2 linked regions of the Rhinolophus ferrumequinum genome follow. The protein of the gene in region 1 purifies or fractionates together with the protein of each later gene. This does not show direct contact. Links are inferred from orthologs where the notes say so. Each region holds a gene or a part of one and is shown on either strand. Other genes may lie near its edges. The genes, in order: PPP1R10 and TOX4.

Evidence for each region.
Region 2: the proteins of PPP1R10 (region 1) and TOX4 purify together in Homo sapiens (affinity purification with mass spectrometry; 3 studies listed by BioGRID and IntAct, counting the BioPlex papers as one, with this or other methods). This does not show direct contact. The link is inferred for Rhinolophus ferrumequinum from reciprocal best matches to the Homo sapiens genes PPP1R10 and TOX4.

What each region holds. Positions count from the first base shown.
Region 1 is NC_046286.1:1,235,497-1,251,307, forward strand, and holds the start of PPP1R10 (serine/threonine-protein phosphatase 1 regulatory subunit 10), read right to left. Parts: upstream 10,368-15,811; 5' UTR 10,257-10,367; intron 10,034-10,256; 5' UTR 9,513-10,033; intron 7,422-9,512; exon of another isoform or gene 7,403-7,421; intron 3,470-7,402; 5' UTR 3,459-3,469; coding exon 3,352-3,458; intron 2,667-3,351; coding exon 2,580-2,666; intron 2,421-2,579; coding exon 2,285-2,420; intron 1,853-2,284; coding exon 1,801-1,852; intron 1-1,800. Other genes in the region: MRPS18B (28S ribosomal protein S18b, mitochondrial), read left to right, coding at 10,921-10,998, 12,194-12,302, 12,400-12,497, 12,625-12,693, 14,162-14,228, 15,289-15,348.
Region 2 is NC_046289.1:72,275,436-72,290,579, forward strand, and holds the start of TOX4 (TOX high mobility group box family member 4), read left to right. Parts: upstream 1-9,268; 5' UTR 9,269-9,359; coding exon 9,360-9,365; intron 9,366-9,574; coding exon 9,575-9,643; intron 9,644-9,961; exon of another isoform or gene 9,962-9,979; intron 9,980-15,144. Other genes in the region: RAB2B (ras-related protein Rab-2B), read right to left, coding at 181-273, 487-569, 6,119-6,186, 8,613-8,684, 8,908-8,953. UniProt on the Homo sapiens protein: Transcription factor that modulates cell fate reprogramming from the somatic state to the pluripotent and neuronal fate. In liver, controls the expression of hormone-regulated gluconeogenic genes such as G6PC1 and PCK1.

The sequences.
Region 1 (15,811 bases):
CACACAAGCACAGAGATTAGAGTTACCAAAGCTAGAAAGGGCAGAACGAACCCAGCACCCCTGCTCTTCCCCTAACCACATGTTAAAAGAACAGAAACTAAAATTAGATTTTAAAAGAAAATGTATTATTCTGTGTTGTCCTAAAGGCAAATTTAACGCAAGTTTCAAGGAAGCAGATTTAGAGCCATCTTAAAAAAGATTTCCTAGGCACTTTTTTCCCTAGAATGCTACTAGGGATGGCTTTTAAAAAATCAATTGAATGTAGAAAAGATGAAAAGAGAGCTTAAAAACAGACTAAGTTACGGTAGCAGAGTTTATCGAGAGAAAAAAGATCAGAGAATTTAAAGGTAGAGAGTAAAATTTGTTTCTAAATATATGAAAAAAAGTAACTTTGTAGCTCTTTCCTTTTGTACTTGGCAAATGACATCTCTTACCTTTGGCGCCTCTCGCCACTTACAGACTCATTTAATAACAGATTGTTGTAAAACATGAAAATCTAACTTTTAAAAAGTCACACAACTGGCAATTTCTGTATCTAAGGCAACATGAGCCCCAATGCATCCCCAATGCAGGGATACCCTAAAACCTTTTTGGAGCAATAGATACCATGGTCCAGTGAGACTTTACTACAGTCAATAAGGAATGTACAAATTTCAGCATCTAAAGGAAGTACAGAGTAATAATTAAATCTATATTCAAAGAAGGCAGCATAACTGAGCCAGCTGGAAAACAGGGAAAAATCAACCTGACAGTGAAGAAACAAAAGATGGGCAATGATTTAATGGGCTCTTCTGTGTTACACGTTATATTATGTTAAAGATACGCTGACATGTCGCAAAAATAGTGAAGTGCTCTGTATCAAAAAGGACCTAAAAACTTGGCATTAATACAACAAAGGAATGGGAAGTCCAGGAATGTTTTTCACTTAAACAATATTGTATCTCAGGAAGTGTTCCCATTGTTTTCTCCTACAGCTAATGGACCTTCAGATAGGCTCACCCAGGCCTAGATGCTCCATCTACACCAAACGGCCGAAGCCTCTTTCCCAAAGGACCTAGCATACCATTCCCTTACGAAAAGAGCAAACCTGAACTCTGACGAGGGGATCAAGCTTTACCACAATACTGTTCACCTGCTGGACACTAGTGTCTTGTGCTCCTGATTTATATCTTTGGATACAAACCCTTGGGTACAAACCCTTTTCTGCTCTAAAGAAAAGGTTGTGATTTCAGGAGCCAGGCTCTACCTTCAAGGCAGAACTGTCTGGCCTTCGCCAGGAGGTCTGAAACCCTTCGTCCTAGAAAAGGGAAGAATCTGTTGCTATCAAAGCTATGATACACTCCAGGAGTCGGACTCTGCTAGGCCCTTCAGGAAGGCATCTATTAGTAGGACTAGTACCTCTGTTATTAGCAGAGTAGACATCGCAGGTCCCAGAATATACGGTGTTTATTCAGAAAAAAGGAAGTCAGTGATGATGAGACACTCTAGGATGACACTATTTCCCCCAAAGAATTTTAAGTGTCTGACTTTTACACCAAGAGATCTTAAGAATCAGCTTCTAGTTAAAGTATGGGACCTTGTCTTACGCTCATGAGCAGAGAAATGGACAAATCCCATTCGGAATTGAGAGTAGGAGAGAGGGGACAGGTTAGAGGAAGTACATTTTTAAAAGAAAAAGAAAAGCAAAGGGAGGTAGGAAGAGAAAGGAAGGTACAATCCCAGGATGGGGAGAGAAACAAAGGAAGCTAAGTGGAAGTGATGGAGGCAGGCCCAGGACAGAGAGGAAGGACTGGCCCCTACCTTCATCCTCACTCGACTTGCTCAGTTGCTTCACCAGTTTGGCTGTATTGTTCTAGGAGAGACAAGGAGCAGCAGGAAGGTAAATGCCAGAAGGACAAGAAGTCCACTCGGAGCTCACAACCCCCCAAACTCACTCACAGACTCTTAATAGACCTTTAACAGCAACTAACACTAACATTGTACTTTCCCCTTCACAAAACCTTTGTAGATACAGTCTTACTTAATCTTTAGAACAATCCAGTTAGGTAGGTACAATTATTCCCATTTTATAGACGAAAACAACTGGGGCTCAGATATATGAAGTGCCTCGAACCACATGCCTATTAAAGGAGATAGATTTGTACCAAGTCTTCTTATTCCAAATTCCTATTTTTCCTACCATACTCCCCCACGGGCTAAGATCACTGTCCGGTCAGGCAATGTGAGTTTTTCATGTTACACTACACCAAAAAGGACGCACTTGGATGGTAAAGACTGAAGGTACCTGCTTGAGATGGTCCACAGTGAGTGGTAGATGCTGCAGGGTCAGGAGAATTTGCTGCAAAAGGGGAATGTTGTTGGTTGTCTTTGAATACGTCAACCAATTGTTAAGAAGTTTGTAGCCACCAACGTCAATAAACCTGTAGGCAGGCAGGAGGAGAATATGTAATGTCCTCCTATGTTTTAGAAATACCACATCCCACTCTCAGTTCCCCATCAACAACCCAGGAATCCCCTGCCTCCCCTTCCCCACCTTCTAACTACGTCTTCCCATCCCAGCCACCCCGATTCCCACTTACTTGACCAGTATTTCTGGTGAACGGGTCTGCAGGAGAATGTTCAAGTAAGTGCATCGACTCACCATCTTTCGTGCTTCCTTCATCAGACTGTAGGGGAGAGGTTAGGTTACAAGAGAGCACCAGACTGCCTCTGTCAGCAGCAGAGTCTCCATCTGCGGGACTGCCTGGAGGTCCCTGATGACTTGGGACTTTGCTCCACAGTGGGAGGGTCACCTGGGCCTCCAGGAGGATGGGATGGAATCAGAGTGAAATGGAAACCCACAGGAAGACGGAGAACTGAGGAGACACTGAAGTCTCTGATCTGGGGAGGTGAGCATCACTGCTTTGAATACACAGGACACATTTGATTCTAATTCCAGGTGGGGAGCCCTAGCCCTCAACAACCAACCCTTAGTACCCTGTTCAGGACTGGCTTAGTCATTTGCTTCCCCTGGGAAACTTCAGCATCCTGGAAGGAAAATGAGTTTCGGTATGTCGAACGTGACCCAAAACACAACAAAGAATGTGGTCACGTGACTCCACGCTTCCTTCCTTCCTAAAGGTGACTCCCTTGAGACTGTGGCTATCCAAATATCTACATCCATTATGGCAAGGAACCAAGGGATCATCTTTTCCTACCACTTATTCTAAAATTATTGGATTTGAATCCTATTCCTTTACTGATTTTCCCCTTCCTCTCCAGGAACACTCGGTCCTGTCTGCCTTGATTACAGCCATATCACAACATATAACATCCTCTTCTCACAAGGAATCCAAAAAAGGGTGGACTCACCTGAAGATCTTGGAAATCCCATCCACACTCTTGACTTCCCCATCTCGGTTAAGGAAGCTATCCAGGCCCTTGAGAAGCTCTTTGGGGTCTATGGGACCTGAACCCATGATCGAGGTTTCTAAAAGGACAAAACAAACCCACAGAATAAATGGGTGGCAAGGAGAGTCCCAGTATGCCTTCTAATAAATTCTACTTCTACATTTGACAAAATATAGTGACTAATTATTCAATCTATATTCAACTACACTCACCATTTTCAAGAAAAACCAACACAGACCATTGTCACCACTGAGAAAATAGCCCTGGCCAATTAAGCATGGTGTTCCTCATGACTGAATGGAAAAACAATTCAGGTGGAGGACTGGAGCAGCACCTCTCTCCCGCTCCCAATTACAACCTTCCTAGGACAGCTGAACTTCCTTAGATTGTATTAAAATTAAGATTTACACTCCTGTAAGAAAATGCTCAACTCTCCAAGGCATTTTTGCTTATTGTTAAGTCCTGTCGCTTCCTTGCTGGTAAATATCATTTGAAAAACAAAACAAAACCAACTTGTAAGACCTGGGCCAATCTTGGGTGCTTGGGCTAAATGTCTTCTAAGATTAGTCATTCCTTTTTATCTTAGCCCATTAAGAGTCATAATTACAAGTGGCAGGATATGTTCTGCCTACACCAGTAGACAATCAACTAAAGTGCAGGTGACAGAGAAGAAACAAAATTTGAAAAAAGAATCTCTCCCCAGGGGAGGTGTGGGTAGCTCCCAGAAACGGAGACAAATGGATGCAAAGAAGTCAAGCAGGTCCTTCTAAGCCTTGAATAGAGTACCACTCACTAACCAAACACTGCGTAAGTTTTTATTGTTTCAAAGTTAAGGGCAAGATTGGTTTGTGGTTTCAAAAGCAAGGATGCAACTCTGGCCCCCTAATCCCCCGCGCCCCCCAAATCATAGCACCATCCAAGATCCCCAAGAAAAGCCTGAAATTAGAAACCATGGAGCCAAAAAGAATAAAGCTAGAAGCTGGAAAAATGCCATTAAATTTTAAGTAGCTACTTTAGACAAGGTTAGAAAAGGAGTTAATTAAAAGTTAAACTGCTGTTATGGGACAGTATGAAGCAATTTCTAGGCCAGAACCCAAGTTCCAGAAATGTAATTAAGAATCAACATAGTTCGGATTGGTATTTTTATCCACCATGCCTCTAAACACCGGCTTCTGAGAACCAAAAGAGAATTCCACCTCAGTAGTATCTGCATTTGGGAAATAAGGTTAACACTGGGTTGGTAGGAAGGGGGCAAGGAGAAAACCCTGCATCCTGCTTCTGGAAGTTAACAGACACTATACACGAGCAGAACAGTGGGAAAATCAGCGTTTTACAAAGGTGACTATATTTTGTGCAGAAAAGAGAACAGGTTTTTTATAAGAAATTATTAATTCTATTTGTTCTCAAACCAAAAAACGAACAACTGTTAACAATTTCGGCCTTTTAGTCCTCCCAACAAAAAGGTAAGTTAATTTCTAAATCAGTAGGTCCTAACAACTCAGGCAAGAAAAGGCAGAAGCAGCAAGGAGGCTTGTTCTTGAAGCTGAATAAAGGGAGGAGATGAGCTAAGAAATGCAGAGAAGTGCGCAGATCTGGTTTAACTGTGCGGTGACTGCTGCCCTGGAAGAGCCCCAGGACAGGCAGAACCTGAAGTCAGAGAGGAAAACACTGTAGATAGAATACCAGGCAAGACTAGAAGCCCCTAGGGCCAAATCCACTGAACTGGTGATTGTTATACAGAAATAGACACAGGGATAAAGGAATTTTTCCCATGTAGTAAGACACTATCATATATAAACACTATAAAGAGAGAGAAACGATAAAGATATATAGAACAGATTTCCCATCTATTGAAGACTGAAAAATGAACGAATCCAAATACATATTAGCAAACAAGGTAATATACAACTTGACAAAAAGCCTTCCATTAAACTAACATCACTTCAAAACAGCCCCCCTAAATACAGCTAACTCCACTGATTTAAACCCAGAATTGAATATACATCACTTTGGAGAACTCCTATTTATATACCCAACTACCAGCTAAGTCAACAGGCCTGCCACCCCTACTTCCTTCAGAAACTCAAAAAATTATCACCTGAGCTCAAATGTTCCTTCATTTAAGAGGGTGGAGGAGAGACAAATTACTATAAAGCTAAGTTGTCTAGTGCCTTCTGCTGGGAATGGGACCAGGGACTTGTTCATTCCCATTCGTAACAAGCCAGAATAGTGAAGAGAAGCTACGAGACAAAGCAGTAGAAAATGTTATTCATTTTCCACTATTCTTTTCCTATATAATTTTGAAAATAAACAAAACTAAGTTTATCTCATGAGCACCAGTCATGTGATCAAAATGTTAAGTGGGTTCTCATGATGGCTTTCCTACAGGGAGATTAGCTTTGACTCATTTTAAAGTCCCCAAGTGTCTTGACAACCTGATTTCCTTCCTTCGAAGTCAGTACATTTTGAAAGAAGTCCCAAGGCACTCAAGTGGAAAGGAATGAGCCTAAATCCTTGGCACAGGCCTCCAGGAGAGAAGGCGAGTGAGTTAACCAGGAAGAACGAGTGGCCAAGTGTCAGAACATCACCTAGTCACACATGGCGCCTGGCCTGGAAGCCTGAGGAAGCTTTCTGGAGCCAAAAACAATCCAGGGCATGATATATTTTAATTCCCTTGAATGTAGAACATACAGGAGAGACAGGAGCAATCCCTGGCCTGACTCCACCACATCCTGCACTGTGTTCCTCACGGAGGATGCTGCAGGCAGACCCGCCCTAGTGGCTGACACAGGCACTGGCCAGTTTTCTCCTATTCTTACCAGAGATCAAATTTTAAAGTCCACAAGCGGCACTGACTCCTGCCTCCAAAATGAATTTTACTTGAGCGTTGATCAATTAAATAGGGTGAAAAATACTTAGTTTGGCTGAAGTTGTTCCATACCTATCACCAATAAAACAGAACTGGATTGGTTCAGGACAAAAATTCTACACCAAGTCAGAGCCCTTTTCAAAATACTCCTCTAATCAAGGAGGAAGGAGTCAGTTCCCCTTTAACTTGGAGACCTCAGCACTTGGGGAAATGAAAATGTTTCATACCCAACTCCTTACATTCCGCTTCCTTTCCTGTGTTTCAGGCATTTCCTCATACGACTCAATAGCAGACTGAATTATGTCTCAGGTGATTCATAAGGTTGTACCTCTTCTAAGTAGTAAGCCCCTATCCCTCAGTCATTTTTAAAACTTGGTACATGATCTCCCCAAAAGCTTATTTGTAAAACTCAAACCCCCGCTCCCTCCAACCCCATCCCAATAGGAAAGGATCCCAGAATAGAACACTGGCCGAAAACTACAAGATCAGGTTCTCCGAGGTTTTCTGGATGTATTTGGTTTCCCTAGAAGACTTTTTTTTTCCCCATCTCCCATGTTATGGAACATCTTCTTTATTAATCCCCTGCTCACTAGAGATCAGGAACCCCAGTGGGCAGAATGTTCAGCTCCCAAGGAAGGTATGCTGCAGAGGCACAGGGCAAACTGCTTAAAAGATAAAAAAACTTGTCATCAGTAGACATGTGGAAGTGTCCCTCCCATCCAATCCAGATTAGTAATTTGAGAATCCATACCCAGTAGAAAATTAGCCCTGAAGTCTCACCCAAGTCACCACAGGGCCACTGTACAAAAAGACTCCCCCATTCTGCCTAGAACCTCCACGCTTCAAAGTAGGACTTTAAAAAAATGAAAAATATATGGAGAGTCAGACAGATTTGACTTTGAAAAAGTTGGAGGAGGAAAGAAAGGGACAGGATACCCAATTCCACTCTCAGACAGGGCATGGCTTTCGAACATGCACCAATTGCCATAGCACTGCATGAATTGAGAAATGAAGACATTCTCCCATTAATGTTTTTAAGGAATTCCTTTTGGAAGGTAAGGAAAAAGAAATTCAAAAAAAGGTGGCTCTTGGGAAAAAAGAAATGAAGGTTGTGAAATGTAATACCAGAAAGGTTTTGCTTACCAGAAACCGTAGCTTGATTCCCCCTGCCTTGAGTTTACAACTGCAGCCTCCTTTCCTAAAGATTCACTTCTCATCCTAGCACCAATGTACAGGAGCTAAGCAACTGGAGAACGTGATACAGCACTGAACACAAAGAGTTTACCCCCAAACCTTAAGGCGGGAATAAGGGTGACTTAGAAGAAATTCCTCAAATACCCACCTTCCCCCGCCCCATACAAGGTGACCAAATGCAGGACGCCCAAGGACTGGTTCCTGAGCAGAAATGGCACATTTCAGTGTTATTAGGCCCCATTTGTCTCAAGTTACCTTCACAAGCCCTTGTCTTTCCCCAGTATCCCCCAACACACATATATACACACAAGCTCACACACACTACCCCCAAAAGCTTCCGTCTTAAAGGTATAGTTGGTTTAACTGGTTTTCGACCCCTAGCAACTGAAGCAGGGAAAACTTCCAAGCAAGCAGTTGTGATGAGTGAAAGATGAAAATAAAAGCAACAGCCTGTTAAATATACAAACTAGAGCTGCCCAAGGAGATGTACAGCTTGAAGACCTCATTCCTGTAGGCTTTTTCCCTTTTAAAATAAAGGCTATAAAAGGTAAAATTATAAGGAAAATGTCTTTTCCTGGCTGCGTGCACAGGAGTCCAGGAGGCATTTGCTCAGGGGTGGAGTTTCAAAGAGGGTGGAGAGACAAGAAAGCTGATTACATCACCTTTCAGTGCTGCTCCTCCCCCTTGACCAAGTTTCTAGGGCGGCCCTATGCTCTGGACGGCAAAAGAAGAAAAACAAAGAAGCAGGGACGCCATTTTGTAATGGAGAAAACTTTAAAAAGCTATTCCAGCTCTGCCGGTAGCTAATTACATGAAAAAACACCCTTAGTTTAAAAAAAAAAAAAAAAAAGAACGAACGAAAACCAGTCCCCCCATCCTTAAGTCTCTGAGCTATTTTGAGTAAGAGCGTTGTGAAAATAAAAGCAATTAAAATATTAAAAATAACAATTTTCTGCGGGGAAGAATTGAATTTGCAATTAAGGTTCAACCTACCATCGACCACCCCCATCCTCCCTATAAAGGCAAAGGGGGAGGACTTGGACCCCTCTCAACAAATAGGGTTGAGATAGGACAAGAGAAAAATGGGAGACACAACCTGCAAAACCGCTTGGAAGACAAAGGACAAGGAAAGTCGCCATATTGAAGCAGGGAAAAAAAAAATTCCTTTTAACGACACAAATTTTTTAAAGCTAGCATTCAATTGCACTAAATGGCTTTTAAATTATACTCCTGAATTTCACATTTCCCAACCTTTCCACCCTCTACTTAACTGAATTCCACCCCCCTCAAAAAGTATCAAGTTAAAATGTTAACCTTTTGCTTTTAAATAGCCTATGCAAACTGCAACAATTACAAAACATTTACTTCCCCAACTATTATCTTGTATGTACTGGCACTAGGATTATATTTTGCCCTGAATTAAGTGTCTTGCAATCTTTATTCCTAGATTGCCGCCTATTTTAACCACACAAATATACCCCAAGCATATTACATAAAAATTGAGAGGATTTAACAATCATCTTAAAAGTCATAGCCAGCTATTTCTCTCTGCCCATCTCCTTACCCTGCAATCTTTATGTACAGATTGCTCATTAATCTGGCAAATTGAAAGGCGCCCTGTTTGTCTCACACACAAAGAAGTGGGACTTCTGGGCCATGAGATCCACCGTCTTTTGTATGTGAGCTCATTAACCCTTTTGAAGACTGCTAAACGGGAGGAAAGTAACCATTCCCCCTTATAAAAAGCAAACACTATGGCTTTGGCAGTCTGGAAATTGGCTGGATTACCAAGGGTTAACCATCAAAATCCTCACTTTCTGGCTCTCCCTCCACCCTCTCCTTGCCTTCAGCAGGCAGGGGAGAGGTAGGTGGTAGAAGAGTACAAGACTGTTTAGACCCAAAGGCCCTTTTTAATGGAGATTAAGTGACCGGCTTGGTCCTTTCTCCAGTTCTCTATTTTGTTCTATGGTCTCATTTCTTCCTCTCATTATTTTTGGTTTCACAAAGGGAAACGTTGATTTCTTGTTGCAAGGCTCGTTTTTGAAAATTCGACACTTACTATCCAATTTTTTTGCGACGTCAGCACCTCGGGCTCAGGGGGGAGGGGGTTAAAATTTGAGAAAAAAATAAACCAACCAACCAGGACCCAAAACTCTTATTTGAGGGGCCTCATTGGATCAAAAAGTCTCTTAAAAAAATAAAGGCCAACTCAGTATTCATTTCCCCCCCACCCAACTCCATTTAGGGAGGGGGGGGTCGCAGAAAAAAAGTTCTGAGTGGATTCAAAAAAGTAAACGCTGGATAAGTGAGTTTGGGTGGGTTTGGGAAGGGAGGGTGGTTGATTATTTTTGAAGTTATGTGGTGACGGTCCTTCGGCCACAGATTTCAAGTCCCAAGCAGCGTGGGCTGGTGGGGTGGGCAAGATAGGTGGGAAGGGGCAGAAGACACAAGTGGTTGGGCTGGTGGCTGCTGTTTTCCCTTTCCCCCCTCTCTCAGGATCCTTTCAGGGGCTTAGATGTTGCTGCGGCTTGTTTCTTTTGTCCTCGTGGCCGGCCTGTCTTTCTCCGAGAAAACTCAAACCTGGGATAAAAGGAACACAAGGGAGAAAGATGTAATCAGTACGGGTTGGCTTTAAACACCCCAAAACTACCATCTTTGTTGTCCCAAACACCTCCACGTCCAATGCCGAACACAGCCGCTTTATATAAGTCATGGCTCCCAAATAAATCCATGCCTAACCCGTTTTCCAGTCAAACCTCTCAATAAAATTTCACCCTCTAACCGACAAATTACCGAAACTTACCTCTAAACGAACCCCAGAATGGCGGATGCCCGGTCCGGTGGAGTATTTTATACCGGGACGCCGCCCAACGCGCCCAAACGTGCTAGTGTAATTCCCTTGTCGCGAGACATTGTGCGCGAGGCGTGAATTTATTGGTCAACCCGAAAGACAACTCGCTAGCTGATTGGCTATCCTTCCTTCGCCTTCGCTCAGCCCACCCTCCCCTCCCCGCCACCCCTGGGACCTTTTTCCTCCTCCTTCCTGGGGGAAGGTGTGGGGGCCGCGTGCGCGTGACCTGACAGCCTAGCACCGCCTTTTCCTCTGTTTCCGCCACTTCCGTCCTCAAGAACATTTCTCAGCTTGGGTTGGTAGAACCAGGTATGCGCATGCGCAGTAGTAGGATCTCGGTCAAAATCGCCTTCAAAATTGTTTAAAACGCAAACTCTAAGTATGAGATCTAAGGATCGTAGTGACTGGTAGAGCAAAAATTCAATTTGGAGGCCGAATTTGATTGTGACGCAGTTGAAATTGGCTTCTCCACATGACCCCCTTTCTCGCTTCCGTCCTGACGCAAGTGCGTGGCTGCCTCCCGCATTGTAGGCTCCTCCTTGGTCCTACCCTAGTCAGTTTCTCGGAGCATGCGCAGTCACTTTTCCGGTCGTTCCACCTTCGGACGTATGTCAAGATGGCGGCCTCCGTAGTGACTACGCTGCTGAGGCGCCTTCCTAGCGTTTGGTCCTTCAGAGGTGCCTACGGAGTTCAGGTAACTCCTTGGAGCACATTTTGTACAACCCTAATTTAGTTATGTGTTTTTTAGGTTGTCGCTCCACTCCTGGGAATCCAGGAGCGGAGACTTTCTTAAGGATTTTTTCCTCGGGTGTCTAGGCAACACTTCGTTACCACCAGTCACCCTTTCCCCTCACCGTGCTCAAATCTCCGTGCATTTTTAAAATCCCGAGCCGAGGGCAAAGAGACAGGGTTAGAGTCATCCTCTTCCCAATTTATCGTGTCGGCTAAATAACTAAGTGAAGGAGTGGAACCCCCTCTCCCTCGGTCATGCACAGCCAACTCTTTAACTATGCAGATGGTGTCTAAATCTGTGATGCCCTGCAGTGTCCTTGAGCTCAGGGACACCATTTTCTATCAGCCCTACTATCTCCCAGTGAAGCCGGGATACATTCTCTGGACCTGATACAGGTTCCTCAGCCGTCTATGTCACTAAATCACTTTATTATGAGAGCATACATGAGAATTTAACTCAGCCCTTTGGATTGAGGTTTCCCTTCAGCCTCATGTACTCACCACCCTGGAGGTTCTTGGTAGGGCAGGGCAGGTTCTTGGTGGGGCAGGGTGAGATAGGAAGGATTGCCCAGCTCCACTCCCTAAAGTGGGACTGAAGAGTGGTGATGGGTCACCACGGCTTTAATGACAGGTCTGGTAGCTTTAAAGCTAGCATTAGGACTCAGCTTGTTCTTCCCTATGGAATGTTGACCTTCAACTTTGTATAAAACTGGGCAGCTCTGATTCTGGATTGGATTGAGTTGGAGACTCACTTGTCCTATGTATGCTTTCCCTGCCACACACTTCCAAGAAGCGAGACATCCTCCTTTTTTCTTTCTTCACCCTTTTCCCTCCACTGGACTCAATTTGACTCCAAAAGCATGACTATCTTATATGTGCCGTGTTTTTAAGTTGTCCTCTCAAGTAAGATTGCATCTCGGTCACCTATCCTAGTTATTTTCTAACATTATCTTCTCTTTCAGCATTGAGATAGGGAGAATGGTTGTTGTTGATCTCACAACAAAAATGGCCCAACAAAAATGCTACCTTCCATATATATCCCTGCTATATTCCATTAACACTAAGGGTGTGCACACCCCTTCTCCCTGAAGTGTCAGCAGCAAAATAATCGAGTCCTTCCTTGAATTCATTTTTTAATTTTTGCCCTACTTTTACAGGTTCCTCTCCAGACTCTTTGCACTGACGTCTCCCCTGAGGAAAATTCTTTACCCCCGGTTCCCATTTCCCCTTATAAAAATGAACCCTGGAAATATCTGGACTCAGAAGGTACCTCTTAAGTGGTGAAGCGGAGGGTCATGTGGGGTCTGAAATAAATGGGCAGAGATACCTGCTGCATTCTTACCGGTGTGGTCCTAAATTTCAGAATACCAGACCCGCTACGGTTCTCGCCCCGTCTGGGCTGACTACCGTCGCAACCACAAAGGTGGAATACCCCCACAGCGGACTCGAAAGACATGTATTGTGAGTTTCTGAGGGTGGCACATGGATGGGATGTAAAGTCGGGGTGGAGACCATAGTGACAGTGGCAGCAGCACTTTTTCTGACAGGGCTTGGAACATCTTCACCTGCCAGTTTCTTCTCTCTGCAGCGTAAAAATAAAGTTGCTGGGAATCCCTGCCCTATCTGCCGGGATCACAAGCTGCACATCGACTTTAGGGTAAGGAGAATCTTTTTTCCAGGATAAGAATTTAAAGCTTCTTTGTAATGTTATACAAATTTCCAGGGGTGCCCCACTCTTCATATCCCGGCACCCCTACAGACCATTTTGTACTGGCTTTCTGGCACTATAAAAACATCCCTCCCTCCAGCCTTTTGCCTTCTATGGATTATAGTGAAAAACTTCATCCCTTATCTGTGAAATTTATAGTCTAAATTGGGAGGCAAAAAAATCCTATTTCTGATGGGACAGCAATGCCCAAACTTTATGTATATCCATCACAATTATTAGCAAGTAGGTTGGGTTAGTTTTTTTCTGAAGTTTTCTTTATTTCCTTGTCATGTTGATGTTTGGTGGCATTCTGAGACTTGCAGCTGGAGGGCAGATACATGAAGCACAGTATAGAGTCTAGTTATTTTTTCAAAAAGCCTTCATTGTGAGAAGGACAAGACTTGCTCCTTAAAAAATTCAAAAACTTCTTAAAACTGAGCTTGCAGTGAAGGTATTAGATCAGAAGCTAAATGGCTGGTCATCAGTGAAGCTGGAGGGCATTTATGTATCAGTCAGCGGAGGAGGGTGTCTGACTGTTCTCAGGCCCCATCTGACACAAGTTGTGGAGGAGTCCAGTGGGTGACTTCTCAATTTCAGCTGTGTGCAATTGGTTAATAAAAAGGGATTCTAACCATTTTTTTTTTCTTTTTAAATTTTTATTGGGGAACAGTATGTTTTTCCAGGACCCATCAGCTCCCAGTCATGTCGTTGTTTTTCAATCTAATTGTGGAGGGCGCAGCTCACTGGCCCACGTGGAGATCGAACTGGCAACATTGGTGTTGTGAGCGCTGTGCTCTAATCAACTGAGCCACCCGGCCGCTCCAGTTGTAACCAATTTCATACAGTTTATAATGACATAACAAGGAAGAGAGAAAAGATTACAAATTTCATAGTGCAGATGATTCTGCCTGCCATTCTACTCTACAAGTATACCTGCTTTTTCCTTGGGTCTCACTTCCTGTGGTTAATTTGCAGCTGTAGAATCAGTCTATATAATTAAAACTGAAATTGATCTGAGTAAATATATATATTATACACAGCATGCTGTTACATACCTTAATCATTCATATACGCACACTGTAACGTATACTACATTTTCTGGGTGATTTCAGGGATTGCCACCTGACAGTCCCCAATTTTTTTGCATGAGGGCTGATTTTAGAACCTAACCCCTGCGGAAGAGAATTCTGAATGTAAGATGCGCATGTGAAATGGTTGAAAGGCAGGAAAGGGGAAATATTTGCTGGAATTTTCAAGAATGTGTTCAGTAAAGCGATGGGGCCAAAACTGGGACATGAAGGAGGGTAGCATCTGGAGAGACGGGTTAGGGTCGTCTGTAGGAATTGTGCATATTCAGTCTCTAAAGGTCTTGGTGCTTTCCCCTCTCTCTCTCATTTCTCCACTCTTTCCGCCACAGAACGTGAAGCTCTTGGAACAGTTTGTCTGCGCCCACACGGGTATCATCTTCCATGCGCCATACACAGGTTAGCCCATCACTCCTGTCACCATCAGAATAGTTTTTCCTGGGAGCACTTCTCGTTTATTCAGTCAGACGATAGGTATTTGTTTGGTGGCTGCCACCAGCATAAAAAGTGTGTTTGAGCCTTTTGGAAATCGTGGCTTAATGGAGATACTGACATGCTAAAACTGTTACATGTAGACAGAATTTACAGACGAGTGTCATTGTAAGCAAATGATCTAAATGTAGCTCTTAAAAATAAATAGTGATGCTTATTTCTTTAGGGTGTCTTCAGTTTTACAAAAAGCTTTCTCAGAAATTGACTATCCTATAAGTTCTTTTATACCATTGACCATTAATTGTAAGCTTAACAGTTCAAGATTAATCTATTCCTAACCACGGCCACAGGCCAAATTTGGCGACCCACTATGTCTGTTTTCATATTGTTTACAACTGCTTTCAGGCTACAACGGCAGAGTTGAGTAACTGAGACAGACACTCTAGGACCCACCAGGCCTAAAATACATGTCCCCATACAGAAAAATTTTGCCAACCCCTGCTCTAAAGCAAGATGAATTTGTAAAGAATAATCTGGACTTACCGTTTTGGGGATGGCAGCATGATTAGTGGAGTTCGGTTTGTCAGGGAGTTTTAAAGAGGAGTTTTGAACTCCTGTCAAACTGTAAAAAACTGAAGAAACTATTTTGGTACTCTCTGAGGTTGGCTTCCCCAGACCTGCAGTATTTTCTTTATTGAATTTTTCTCTTTGAATTGTCCTACCCAACCCTTTAACTAAGCACACTTGCCCTTTGACTTGTGTTCTGCTCCCTGCCTTGGAGCCTTTCCAATTAAATGGCTTTTCTATAGTGGCTGGACTCTCCTAAGTTTTCATCCCAGCTCAGAGAGAGAGAGGATTCTTCTCATTGGGCAGATGGAGGGACAAGCGCATGGAGGAGTCAGGAGAATAGGGTCATTGGATAGAGCCAGGTCTTCCAAACCCAGCCCTCCATCACCATGGAGAAGAGGTTTTATTCCTTATTTATGCCTTATAGAATGAGCACTGAGTTTCCTTTTTCTTCCCACAGGAGTCTGTATGAATCAGCACAAGAAGTTGACCCAGGCTATCCAGAAAGCCAGGGATCACGGTGAGTGTGAGAAGGGGCACTGAGCAGTTTTGGTAGGCTTCAGGAAGGGGATTGAGGGCTGGATGGGTATAAATGCTCCCACCAATCTGAGAAGCTAGCACCCAACACGCTCATCCCAAGAATCTCTTTCATCACTCCACTGTCCCTTGTTCCCTCTCCCGAGTCTCTTGTCATTGTCCTGTCCCCTTGTTCTTCCTCTTTCCTTCCCCTCCCCGCCCCCTTATAACTGTTGGTCTCAATGCTATAGCTAGATCCTAGGAGGATGTTTGTTCTTTGATAATTTTGATATATCAATTTCTGGCCCTGGGCTCCATGATACCTTTGCACAAATTAGGAAAAGGTACCCCTCCATTAGGGCAGATGCCACTGCGTAGGCCTGGTGCAGGGCTGCGCAGCTTGGTAGGCAAGAGCCCAGGCAGTGTGTCAGCCCACGCTTGTCCCCTTGGCCAGTTGGCCTTTGTGC
Region 2 (15,144 bases), on another chromosome or scaffold:
TACACTCAGAAATGATTCAAAGGGTAAATTTTATGTTATGTATATTTCACCACGATATTTTTTTTTACTGAGGTATTAAGAGCACCATATACTAAAAGAGTTTGGGGACCAAGTGATTCAATGTCTATAGAGTACCTAGATGACGATTCGTACTTATTATTTATTCAAATAAAATTTTACCTCTTATTCCCAATCAGCATGATAACCATGTTGGAGCTAGAATGTTGCCGAGCATCTTCTAACCATGAGGTCAGGTGGTTGAAGGTTTCACGCCTACAGCAGAAAAGTTTAGAAAGTGGGTCTGAGGCCCATTTCAAGATGACGAAGAAATTCCAAATGTATGGGAAAAGGAGAAAGGCTATATGTGTAAAAAAAAACATCAGGCCATTCTTCTTCAGCATTCTTACCAGAATCAGTAGGCAGACAAGAAAAAGATTTCGAGACCATAGAGCAGAGCTTCCCTCCCCCTCATCAGATCGGACTCACCTCGTAATGTCGTACACCAGCAGTGCTCCAGCTGCTCCCCTGTAGTAGGAACGGGTGATAGAACGGAAGGATTCTTGCCCAGCCTTTCCCACCAACATGGCAACAAAAAAATCCCAACAAAACCAGGTTATTTCCAGAGAACTGACGTGATCACATGCCACTCCAACACAAAGGACTTAATTTTTTAAATAATTCCTATTAAGAAAAGAGAATCAGGGAAAGGAAACATGACTGCCCACAGAGAAACCCAGGTGGGAAATTAATATTTTTCAAAGGGAATGCAATTCATATTTTGGGTAGGTCAATTCTTCCTGTAAGACTACCTATCAAATTGCTGACTAACACCCCTGGTTCCCAGGCACTAAGTGCCGTAGCACCCCACAGTCCGTGTGACAATCAGAGACATTTCCATACATTTCCTAATGTCTCCTAGCAAAGAAAAACTGGACAAATATATGGTGATGGAAGGAGAACTGACTCTGGGTGGTGAACACACAATGGGATTTAGAAATGATGTAACACAGAATTGTACACCTGAAATCTATGTAATTTTACTAACAATTGTCACCCCAATATATTTAAAAAAAAAAAGAAAGAAAGAAAAACTGGAAACAGGACTAGAAACTCAGAGTATGTTGTACTGTCAATCCAAACATGATGTTGAACACATGAAATTAACATTAATTTTCTGTTTCTATTCCTTTATCTGTAAAAAAGAAAATTATCTTAGAATGCCAATATCCCGTCCAATGGAAATTTCATTTTAATGGATCAATGTAGAAAATTAGTCAGATACCAAGCACTTAAATTGTGCATATGCTAATTGACCTTTAGTGTTCCACTAACAAAAGCAGGACTACCAAAATGTTCCTTTGCTGAGATCTTGTCATGGCAAATAGGAATAAAGAACAGGGAAAGAAGCCCAGGGCCCAGGACAGAGTGTTCCTTAAAAAAATCCAACTGTTCACATTCTAATCTCATTTCCAGCTGGGGTCAAGATACTAAGTTTTTCTCATAACTGAGCGATTTATTAATGCCCCCACATACTGGGTACTTTTGCTTTCCTGATGGAATAGGTTTGTTTTTTTTTTCCCTTAGAGGAAGCAAAAACATCTTTTAAATAATAATATGAATACCCTGGGCATTGAATCTACCCTATTAAGAAAGTTTTCACATTCTTGAAATCACTTATCCTTATATCCCCACATAAAGGTAGGGAAGGAAGACTATTGTTCATATTTTAAAGATGGGAAAACTAAAATGTAGACATGGGAAAATTAATGGCTTTCTTATAGTATAATAACAATAATAGTGCTGATACTAACAATAACACAAAGGGGAAAATGAGGCTCAAAGCGATAAGTTCAGTAACTAGCCAAAAGTTATAAAGTCAATAAATGTCGAATACATAACTTAAACTTAGGATCCTAGTACTTCCTAGCACAGATGTTTGTTCCCTTAGCCATTACATCATATACTCTAAACCCGGATTTGAAGGTGAGAAGAGAATTCCAGTACACTAATTCTAAGGTTCCCTTTCCCACAACAAAAGAATCATACAAATGTTTTGTTGAGTAGCATACCAGTTAAAACATGAGAATCCAAAAATAATTCTAAAGAATTTGTTGGTAATATTAGTAATGCTTTAAGATATAACACATACTTTTTCCCTCCCAAGAACTCAAAGTTTTATTTATTGACTAATCGTTTTATGTCGTAAATTAATTCCTGTTTTGCTTTTATCTGTTACTGACTTTTTTCCCTCTCCTGCTACTGTTGAAAGACCCTCTTTCCCTGTGGCCCACTAGGATCTAAAAGAGAAAGCTTAAGGGAGGCCCACGTGATGGTTGAATCACATGGCAGCATTTAATTTTAGCAGCTGAAAATACTGCCAGTGGGTCATCAGAAAATGACTTTTAAAATCAAATCACTTCACTTCTTCATCTCAGTCCAGTTCATAAACCAAAGTTTGTGAGCCAATATGCTAGAAAGAGTGAGCAGTTCAATTTGGGCTGCTCTGCATCAGTCTGAGGTACGTTTGTCCAACCCCAGGAAAAAAATCTGAAGCAGCAAAGACTAAGATGGAGGTTTGATAAAGAGAATTAACAGTTTTCTATTTTCTCTCAAGTGGAAGCATCATATTATAGTTTTAAGATATGTAGTTGGAAGTATCAATTCCTACAGAGTCAGATATGCTTATTTCCTAAGAATCAAAATGCATTCCAAAGTAAAATACAAATGAATTTGGGATTATTTAATCACTATTTTATATTAGCTATGGTACAATGCCTCTTCATTTAGCATGGTTATTTGGGCAACTATACATACAGAATGAAGAAAGAGAAAAAGAAGTAACATGGCTCTATAAATCCTTCTCAATAACCAGAACAGTGACAACAAAAAACTGGATAACTTGATCTCTTTAAAAATACCCTTCATGGTAATCCTGAAACATCTGCATGTAGGATGGCTTTGGAAGTGAAGAAATGGAGTCAACGAAGTGGGAACCCAAGGGGGCTAAACAATGCACAGGGGATCAGGGATGATAAGGGAGAAACGTCTGGCTTACATGGAGAGTGTAAGGAGACAGATACATTATAGGTAGGAATCTCTTAAAAATTTCAAAATAAATAGAAAAACCCAGTATTCTGAAATCTGATTTTTTTAAATTACTCAACAAAGATTAGTCCAATCTCAAAGCAATTACTAAAAGGAAGTAGAAAAGAACCAGGCCAGTTGCATCTCAAGTGACTATCAGGCCATATGATTCTTGAGGATCATGTCAGCAGAGCAGTGGCTCTCAACTTTCTTATTTTATGGTCCATCATGTTTCATATTACCACTTAAGGGGAAAAAAGTCAGCAAGCCAACACTCAGACACTCTATGACCACGACCATACCTCTAACTGGCAGCTACTATGTCTCCTGGCGTCAAAAGATACAGTTTTGGAAATGACAGAGGTTTAAGTTAAGAAGGCAGAATCTAGCTAATACCAGTCTTGACACTCACAGGCTTCACTCTTTGTCACCTCCTCAGAATTTGTCCTGTGGCCTTCTTAGGGGGCCAAATATATCTTTGTGGGAAATACAAAAACCAGGGGATAATAAAAAAGGAGTTGCAAAACTTACTTGGATTAATAATGACAAAAAAAACCTTGGACCCCAGCAATAAAAGGAGAAGGAAATAAGTGGCAGCTGTTTAAGAAATATATGAACTTAACTTTGGCAACAGATATAGAGTAATACCATTTAGGCTTTATTGGGAGGAGAAAGCTAGAGACAAAACTGGCCAAAAGAAGCAAGTTTGGAAGTTTTAGAGTTATCTGGTTAATGCTACTACTATCAGGGCTGTGAAGTGACTCACCTTCCTATAATTAGGGCAAGCCAATACGGTTAAAATGAAAAATCTGATCAGAAGGGCAAAAGATTATTAAAATGCTTGCAAATACAACCAACAAATGCACAGGAGAATATCATGCCAGTTAAAAGCAGCTGCTCAATCAGTGCATCCAAAAGTGGTAATGAGGCAAACAGAAAAGGACTCTGTGCAAAAAGGGTCTAGAGCACCAAGTAACTACTTTTAAGACAGACACCTGCATGTATTGGGGAACGTCGGGTAGGTAGAGGGGAAAGAGAGGTAAAAAAGAAAAAAAAATCACTTGTGAACTGCTTGTAGATGTAAGGGCTTCAGCTCTCAGTTCTGAGAAGAAACAGAATCAAATACTATGAATTAATCAAAAACAGGAAGAGATTTTAGCTGAATAGTAGGAATATGTGCTACCTCCCTTGAACTTGAAATAGAGACTGAACATTATTTTTCTTAAAGAAAACAAAAGTACAAACCAAATTGAGATAATGCACAGGAAAACAATTTATGTGGATAAAGCAAAATTACATTAAGTCAAACTAAATTTTGGCAGTACTACATTTGTCAAATTTTAAAATATGCATAACCTTGACCCAGAATTTCCATTTCTGGGCAGGCAGTCCACAGAAATCCTCAAGTATCTGCATAAAGATGTAATAAATGAGAATGATCAATGAAACTTTGCAGTGGTGAAAAATTGGAAACCGAAATTTCCATCAATGGGAGGATTGTTAAATAAATTATGGAACAGACATTCTATGATCCTATGCAGTGATTTTTAAAAATGAGGTAGAATGGAATTACCTTATGACCCAGCAATTCCACTGTTGGGTATCTATCCAGAGAAATCCAAAACACTAATTTGAAAAAATATATGCACCCCTATGTTTATTGCAGTGTTAGTCAAAATAGCCAAGACATGGAAACAACCGAAATGCCCATCAGTAGATGACTGGATAAAGAAACTATGGTACATTTATACAATGGCCATAAACAACAATGAAATCTTACCAATTGCTAAGACATGGATGGACCTAGAGAATATTATGTGAAATAAGTCACATGGAGAAAGACAAATAACATATGATTTCACTTACATGCGGAATCTAAAGAACAGAATAAATGAACAAACAAAATGGAAATGGACTCAGAGATATAAGAGAAAAACAAACAAACTGATGGTTGCTAGATGGGAGGGGGTGGGGATGGGAGAGAAGGTAAAGGAATTAGGAAGTACAAATTAGTAGACATGTTTTAGTAGACATTCGTAGACATGTAGTAGACAATATTGCCATGGGGATATGAAAGACAGTTTGGGAAATACAATCAATAATGTTGTAAAATTTTGTATGGTGTCAGATGGGCACTTCTCTTATTAGGAAGACCGCTTCATGGACTGGGTAGACGCCTGACCACTGTACTGTACACCTGAGGCTGAAGCCGAATAATACTGAATGTCAACTATAAATAAATAAATAAACGTGTGTGTGTGTGTGTGTGTGTGTGTGTGTGTGTGTAGCCACAAGATGCTGAGTACAGCATAGGGAATACAGTCAATGGAATTGTAACAGCAATACACGATGTCAGAGGGATGTTAGACTGGGGGAGGTTATCACTTTGTGAGGGGTATAAATATTTAACTATTACATTGTTTTGCACACCTAAAACTAATTTAAAAAGAAATAAAATAAGGTGACTTTAAAATTTTAAAAAATTGAAAAAAGAAATAAGGTAGATTTGTATGTACTGACATGGGAAAGTCTACAAAACATAAAGATCGCTAAAAAAAAAATACCTTAGTCACAAAGCTAGGTCTGTTTTGCCACAATTCTAAAAACTAATAAAAGCAAAACCACTACCATATATTTGTTTCTATTTATGTATCTAAATACAGAGAAAAAGTCTGAATCAATGATAGTGGGTTACTCTGGTAACGCAGAAACCAAGATTGGGAGGGAGAGAGGTTTATGTGTGCAAAGGGGAATTTAACCTTTTACTCTATACACTTATATTGGTTGCTTTTATTTTTTACTAGAACAGACTCATATATTACGTAGGTAATTTAAAACAAAAATTTAAAACTATGACATTCATATCTGTAACTGTAACAGAGGAAAATGAAAGCTTCCCTATATCTTCGACTTTACTCTTCCCCTACTCTGATCTCCACCATTAGCTCCCATCCTCATAGCCCTTTCCCCTCCATCAGACTTTAGTGTTGTATTTGGATCTGGTCAGGGAGTAAATGATTTTGTCCTCTCTCACCGTATCCCAGATTTGCAGTTTGATTTGTTTTCCATCAATGTTGACCATACGGGCCCCAAACTCCACACCTGTCAGTGAAGATCAAGAGAAAAAATGTGGTTGTCATGAACAGCCATGTTGAGTGAGAAGTTCATGCTATTTTTCAATGTGCTAGTGACTCGTCCTCTGTCTGCACTCAGTGCCACTATTTGAGCCAATTAGTTTTTTGTTTCTTGAAGTTTCATTTCTTTTCTAGAATTAAAAACTGTGTTCTAGGTGATAATGACTTCAAGAATGTAACCAAAAAGCAGATATGGGGATAAAATGAATTAAGAAGTCAAACAGAAAAGGTGAGTAAATTTTTAGCAATGTTAATTAACGCTTAATTTGATTAGATAATGTTTAATTTTGTAACTTTTTAAAAAACTTCTAAAATTTTAAAAAATATTTCCTAGCATTTTTCTCAAAGTCACTCTCTACTCCTCTATATGGAACAATATTTTTTTGCAATTCTAGATTTTTTGAGAAAAGAGCCTACCTAAGAAATAAGTTCTCAAAAATAATATATTTCAGATCTCCAATAATTCCCAGAGTTCATCAGAAAACAGCCTTCCTCATAGGAGTATGGAAACTGACAATCTCAATAAAGACTTTGGTTTACCTGGCATTCATCTTCTTTCAAGGTAAGATCAGGACAAAAATTAAAAATCAAAGGTCACTTATATTAAAAACACTTGATCATATGTCAGACAATTTGTTCTATTTCCTATTTTTTATACAGTACTTTACTTGAGGAATTCTGATTTCCAAGTAAGAAAGAGGACTAATCTAGCTTCTTATAATGGGCTGATATGCACCTATTCAGTGGTCCCACATACAATGCATCAAAATATCACCCTCAACTCTAAGGTGCTCAAGTCAATATGATATAAAGAAAAAATGTTTCTTACTACTCTAGACTGCTTCATCAAGAATAGTGATAGCTACTGCAAAAAGTCACTATTTTTTTTCCCTTCTGGACAATAGGAATGGAATTTCAATGGGGAAGAATTGAAAAATAAAACTTTGTATCCTTTTATGCAACTTTCTCTAGTTATGCACTCAGAGACCCTTCATTTTGCACATATTTTCTATCCAACTGCCTTGTTTATTTTGGTACAAAGGATTGACTTCAGAAAGAAACAGCACATTTTGGACTCTGGGGAAAACTTGATCACGTCATTCCTCCGCTTTAAAACTTGTCATTTACTCCTATTGCCTTCAGGTGTCTCAAAACTTAGTCTCTATTTTATTTTCTAGCTTTATTTTTTGTCATTCTCCACTTCAAATTTCATGCTCCAAACGTGTCAAATTACTTACAGTTTTCCAAAGGCAGCCTGATCTCTGTCATTCATAAGCTTCTGCATATGTTATTCTTTCCTGCCCTGATCACTTTTCCCTCATCTCTATATCCCCTTTGCCTGGCTAAGTCCTGCTCATTCTTCAGTTTTCAGCCTTTCCTGATAAAGGCATCCTCTCCTCCCTTTTTGCAATAAAAATTTACTTGTCAGTACACTATATCTACCCCCAGCCCCACCTGCTACACGGGAAGACTGTAAGCTACTTAAGGGCAAGCGCAATGTTTGCCTTTTTACACACTGTATCATTAGTTTATCACAGTGTGGGTGTCCACTTAACATTCATTTCCAAAAAAATATTTTCCTGTTGATGCTACCCTCTAAATTATTTTCAACCTTTAGTTGTTTGGCTCTGAATAAGTCCTGTGGGAGCAGCAGTAGCTTCAGATTTCAGTAAGGTGGGACTGTAGATGGTAAGAATCTACAATATGGTAAGAATGGGAGCTAGGGATTTTATTCAGAAACTGTGTTTGCATGGCAAGGAGGCTAGTTTTATATGCATTCTTTATTTCGGTTGAGGTTATGGATATTATGGGGCAGGGGTTGCTAAAGCCCCATCAGGCCATGCCTTATCACAAATACGTAGGAAATGTTTATACTTTCCAGAATCTCCTGGAACTCTATCACACTTTTTAACAAAAGTTATTAGTTTCAGCTACCTTTTAAGTCTAGGATGACTCTTGAATTTTCTTCTTCCTCTCCAACACACACAAAAATCTGTATATTGGTAATTACTTAACATACACACACGCGCACACACACACACACACACAAACACACACACGTGAGGCTAGCACTAATTTACCGCAAAGTAAGGTGAGTTTTTGAATTAGTTAGCTTTCGTAGGATTTTCCAAACATTCAAATTGCATTTGGAAAAACAAAAAGAACTTATTCATACCTCATGCTCATCTCTAAAGTTACTTTTCAATTATTTGCTCCCCATTACACTACTCCCCATTTACAGCATTTGATTGGTCACTCTTCATTTAACACAACTTCGGACTATTTTATAAGTAGGCGGAGCTAACTTTTTACTTTGAACCCTGAAGGCTGCTAACTTTTCACTTTAGCTAGTCATGTTTCATTATCTGTTCAGGCACAGGTAGATGCACTTACCTATTGTGAGGTCGTGAACAGGCTGGAACCGCTTGTCTGTAAACTGCAGGAGGAGACATGACTTCCCCACACCTTAAAGAGGAGGACGCACGCTCAAGGAGTCACGCCGCCCGGGAGCGGTCCCGAGTCGGGGTGTCCGGCACTGGGGAAGGGGAGCCCCGAGCCCCGCCCCCGGCCGCCCTGCCCCCGCCCCCTCTTCACCTAATCGCCCAGCCCACTGAGCCCCGCCCCCACGACCCGAATTGGGAACTTCGAATCCCCGCCCCAGCTATCAGGGCAGTCGCCCGCTGTTTACCTGTGTCCCCGATGATGATGTACTTGAAGAGATAAGCATAAGTCATGGTCCCGTTTCCTCTGGATTCCGGGTCCGCCCGACTTCTACAGCCACTTACCTCCGGCCTGTCTAGCCACTCAATCCGCCGATCTCCAGCCCCTCTAGCCCAGATCACATCTCTATTGCTCTCCCCAGAAATCCTCTCCTGGTCGGAGCGACGGTAATACCCAGACACCGATTCCAGGGTCGCCTGTAACACTCTTATGTGCCATTATCCCACCAAGCTCCAGGGGGCGATAGCTAGCCTTTCCGTCCTTTCGGCCTTCCCGGGTCTGACTCGTAACAGCCCTACCGCGCCCCTTCCAATCAGCGAAGAGCGACGCATGTCCTTGCGGAAGTGACGGCAGTTCCGAGTCTTGTGGGGGCGGTGGGAGCGATGAGGGGACTGAGACGGTGATAGCCGTTGTGTGAAAATGGAGGTAGGAACCTGAGCGCTAAGAAGGCTGACAAGAGAGTGCGACCGACCGGGTTGAAGCAGAGGCGGGAAGCTGGGCGGAGAGGCGGCTGACAGGACGGGAGAGAGCGGGATTTGGGGAGTGTTGTCAGAATGTCGGGGTCAGAATCCGTCGCTACAAGCTAACTCCCTGCTCCCCCTAACTTATCCCCGCGGCTTTCTTTTGGTTTCCAGTTTCCCGGAGGAAATGACAATTACCTGACGATCACAGGGCCCTCGCACCCCTTCCTGTCAGGGGCCGAGGTGAGCACGAGGTGCCGATGCTGGGGGCGGGGGGGAGGGCGAGAGGCAGTGGTGGGGTAGGGCGGTGGGGAGGAGAGGGCGCCAGGGACCGGGGGATGGGAACCAGGGGCCGCGATTGGTGTTTAGAGAAAAGTGGCAGCTGCTTCTAGAGCCTATGAGGACTAAGGGGTAGACCCAGGAAGCTGCTGTCATCAGAAAAGCAGGACGTTGGAAAGCGCTAGCGTATTTCAGAGTGATTCTGGATTTGAAGACTGAATGGAATTGTCTTTCTCTTTACGTTGGGGAGAAATAACTACGACAATCTTGGGGGATTGAAGGAGGAGGAGAATATTTTAGGTAAAGAAATTGGGATGAGAGGAGTTTACCCAGCAGGGGTTAACTGTGAGCATTGTTCATTCTTGAACCAAACTTTGTTAGGGGTCTTTGTTTCATATTAATTTTCTACTCAGTGATAAAAAAAAAGTTAATAGTTATGTTAACGTACATGGTGTTAGCTTGTTTTGCTAGTGAAGGATGAAAGGAAATACGTAGTTGCCAGAAAACATGAAGGAAGTAGAACATGTGTTTCTGTTTGCCAGTGACTCATTGTGGGGAGGTTAGGTCACCTTTGTATGTCAGTTTCCCCAGCTGTCAAATAGCTGTAATAATAGTTTCTTACGATGTTGTGAGGTAGAAGTGATGATTATGGTGAGGTCCTTTCAGTATTTGTAGAAAAGTTTTGTTGAAATAATTGTCATAATATAGATATGTGTCATTTACTTAGGCAAGGCAAAGAGAAAGATGGAATAGACAAGAATAAATTTCCTGTTCTTTGAGAAACTCTGAAATCTTGAGCTTTCTACTGTCTTTTGAGGACTTTAATTTTTTTTTCCCCAAAAGTGGTGTGACCCATTTGCATCAGTTTTTTTTTTTTTTCGTACCAAGAATTCTCAATTGCTGTTGAATGGGCTTATCCTGTAATAAATCCTAACGTTTTCATGAATGAGAATTAAATCGACATGGGGCAATTGCTAGTTTTTAACTTCTTTATTGCTATTATTATTATTTAACTAAGCAGAGGAAAGTGTGAATCAAATGAGCAGCAAATTTAGAAACGATATAAAACTAAAATCTGTCTGATGCTTTGTAGTCTCATTGCCAGTTTCTTCTGAGTGATAGCTCCATGATTTAATTTCATTATTAGGAGTATTGTAAATCTCACATTGGCCATATCCACATGAAAAGTCCATCATTGCCAATTTCTTCTAAATCAGGTATCCAGAATTTAAATTCTTTATTTAGAGTGTTTGTAAATTTCACCTTGGCCTCATCAAGAAATTTTCCAGGTTTGAGTCTATCCTTTGTTTTTGCTTTTGTGACTTTGAGCAATTTTAAAAAACAAAACTATTTTGCCAAGCTCATAACTAAATTTCAGTGGCTTCTTTTAGCCTAGGACTCTGTCATTGTTAACAGTTCTCCTCATTACAATTTCTTCACCTTCCCTTCCCGGTTTTTGGTGTTTTTTTTTTAACCTTTATTTTAATTGGTTTGTGGGTTTTGTTGTATCTGGTCTTACTGTAAGCCGCATAGAACTAGGTAAAGGTAATATTTTAAAATTTTTCTTTTAGAAGAAGAGTGATTTTTAGAGTTTTCTTGCAAGAAAAAGATGTCCACAAAAGTATTGACCTTAAAAAAATTGAAAAATGGGATTTCTTTTAAATTAGTAGTTTCTTTTCATTGAAAGATATCATTAAGAAATTAAAAAGGCACTCCACAGACTGCAAGAAGATAGTTTAATACATGTATCTAACTTATATTTAGAATATATCAAACACTTCTGCACAATAAAAGAAAGAATCCAATTTAAAAATGGGCACAAGAAATTTTTTTTTGGTTAATGTTAGGGATTTATTTATTGAATACTTTCGAAGTGCTGAATTCTTTGCAATGTCATGATGGGAGGCAGTGCACAGTGATGGAAAGACCTCTGTTCAAATCCTATCTCTGTTATTAACTTTTTTTTTTGCCACCACTAGAGTTTTTCTTTTTTTAGTTAGAGCTACATATAATATTATATGTTTCAGGTGTACAACATAGTGATTACACATTTATATAACTTATGAAGTGATCACCCTGATAAGTCTTAGTAAGGACAAAAGATTTGAACACGTACTTCATAAAAGAGGTTATCCAGATTGCCATTAGGCATATGAGAAAGTGTCATCACTCACTAGGGAAATAAAATAATGAGATACCATTGCACAGCCACCAGAATGGTTAAAATTAAAAATACTGACAATCCCACGAGTTGAAAAGGATGTTGGATAAGTCTTAATCATTGCTGGTGAGAGTATAAATTGATTTCAACCACTTTTGAAAACTGGCAGTATCTACTAAAGATAAACATATCTAGGGGTGGTTGGTTAGCTCAGTTGGTTAGAGCGTGGTACTAATAACACCAAGGTTACCGGTTTGACCCCCGCATGGGCCATTGTGAGCTGCGCCCTCCTTATAAAAAAGAAAATGATAAACATATCTACCCTGTGACCCAGTAATTCCACTCCTTGACATATATATATACACACACACACACACACACACACACACACACACATATAAATATAATGAATGTATATATTCACCAAAAATATGTGTATTCACAGCAACTTTATTCATAGTAGCCAAGCACTGGAAACAACCCAGATATCTAGGAATACTACACAGCAATAAAAAAGAATGAACTACTAATAAATGCAACTTGGGTGATCTCAAAAATATATTGTTGAATAACAGAAGCCAGACATAAAAGTAGACACTATCTGAGTTCATTTTTTAGTGAAGATGAGGAATATGAAAACACTAGAGGGCGGCCGGATGGCTCAGTTGGTTAGAGCTCGAGCGGGATGGTGGGCTGCGCCCCCTGCAATTAAGATTGAAAACAGCGACTGGACTTGGAGCTGAGCTGCGCCCTCCACAACTAGATTGAAGGACAACAACTTGAGTTGGAGCTCATGGGCCCTGGAAAAAAACACTGTTCCCCAATAAAAAAAATTAAAAAATTAAAAATATATATATACAACACTAAACAAACAAGTATTAGCGAGTATGTAGAGAAAAGCATTCTCTACATACATTAGAGAATTATTATTGGTGGGATTGAAAATTGGTGCAGCCACTACGCAAAATACTATGGAGTTTCCTCAAAAAAATTAAAAATAGAACTACCTTATGACCCAGCATTTCCCTCCTGGGTATTTATCCAGGAAATCCAAAACACTAATTTGAAATGATATATGCACCCCTATGTTTACTGCACACTACTCACAATAGCCAAGATGTGGAAACAACCTAAATGTCCATCAATAGATGAGTGGATAGAGAAATTGTGGTATATTTATACAATGGAATCTTACTCTGTCATAAAAAGAATGAAATCTTACCATTTGCAACAACATGGTTGGACCTAGAGAGTATTATGCTAAGTGAAATAAGTCACAGAGAAAGACAAATACCATATGATCTCACTTATAAGTGGAATCTAAAGAACAATAAACAACCAACTAAAACAGAAATAGACTCAGAGATAGAATAAACTGATGGTTGCTAGATAGGAGCGGGGTGGGGGGTCGGTGAGAAAGGTGAAAGGATAGGAAGTACAAATTGGTAGATACAAAATAGTCATGGGATGTGAAATACAGTATGGGGAATATAGTCAGTAGTAGTATAAAAACTAGAGTGTCGAATGGGTACTAGACTTATTAGGGGGATCACTTCATAAATTATATCAACGTCTAACCACTACGCTGTACACCTGAATCTAATATAAAATAATATTGAATGTCAACTATAATTTTAAAAAATATATAGTTACGCTATGTAAAGTACAGCATAGGAAATATAGTCAATGGTACTGTAACAGCTATGTACGATGTCAGAGGGGTAGTAGACTTAGAGGGGATTATCATTTTGTGAGGGGTGTAAATGTCTAATCACTACAAGTATGTTGTTTTGTACACCTGAAACTAATAATTTTTTAAAAGACCTTTAAAAAAAGAATATACAATGCTAAACTATGGTGATAGAAATTAAAATAGTGGTATCTGTTCCAGAAGGGAAGGAGTATTGACCAGGAAGGAGTAGGAGAAAAGTCTTTTAGAGTGATGGAAATGTCCTGTACCTTAGATCTAGGTTGTAATTAACTGGATGTTTATATATGTTAAAAATTCATTGAGCTATACACTTAAAATTTGTATACATAAGTTATACCTCAATAAAATAAGAAATAATAATTTTCAAAGTGTAGGTGTCCAGAGAGGCAGGCTTAGCATTTGTTACAGCATTGCTTGAAATAGGGAAGCTGGATAATTTGAAGGGAGTTTAATCTTTCTGTTTCATTCATCTTGACTTTTATATAATGATACTGTGCTTTGAGCACTTTGGGGAAATAATACTCCTATCCTTAAATAGAAAAAGTATTTATAACATTAGAAGCAAGTAATGATTTCAGGCTGAATTATTAAAAATTTCACTACTATGTCTTTAAGAGCACTTATTATTATTATTTTATTGGGGAACAGTGTGTTTCTCCAGGGCCCATCAGTTTCAAGTTGTCATCTGTCAATCTAGTTGTGGAGGGCACAGCTCACTGGCCCATGTGGGAATCGAACCAGCAACGCTGTTGTTCAGAGCTCGGGCTCTAACCAACTGAGCCATCCGGCTGCCCCAAGAGCAATTATTTTAATAACCCACAATACCAGCGTACTGTTGAATAAATAGGTGTTGGATTAGAACAAATTTTAAAATGAATAATCTACACAAGAAACTATTTAAAGAAATATTGGAATGTGTGTTTTGATATGGGGCAATGTGAAATAGGAGGGAAATAGAATTTTTTATTTTTTTTATTTTATTTATTTTTTTTAGATTTTATTGGGGAAGGGGAACAGGACTTTATTGGGGAACAGTGTGTACTTCCAGGACTTTTTTCCAAGTCAAGTTGTTGTCCTTTCAACCTTAGTTGTGGAGGGTGCCTTTCAGCTTCAAGTTATTGTCCTTTTAGTCTTAGTTGTGGAGGGCACAGCTCAACCCCAGGTCCAGTTGCCGTTGCTAGTTGCAGAGGGCACAGCCCACCATCCCTTGCGGGAGTCGAACCGGCAACCTTGTGGTTGAGAGGATGTGCTCCAACCAACAACTGAGACATCCGGGAGGCAGCTCAGCTCAAGGTGCCATGTTCAATCTTAGTTGCAGGGGGCGCTGCCCACCATCCCTTGTGGGAATCGAGGAATTGAACTGGCAACCTTGTGGTTGAGAGCCCACTGGCCCATGTGGGAATCGAACTGGCAGCCTTCGGAGTTAGGAGCATGGAGCTCTAACCGCCTGAGCCACCGGGCCGGCCCGATTTTTTTATTTTTTGGTTCTCTCAATATGTAAGCACCTTTGTTTATAAACTGTAATTTCCGAATTGCTTCCTCCCCCGAAAAGGCCCAGGAATTTAGCAGAGAAGGAAAAAGCTGAGTGAGAAG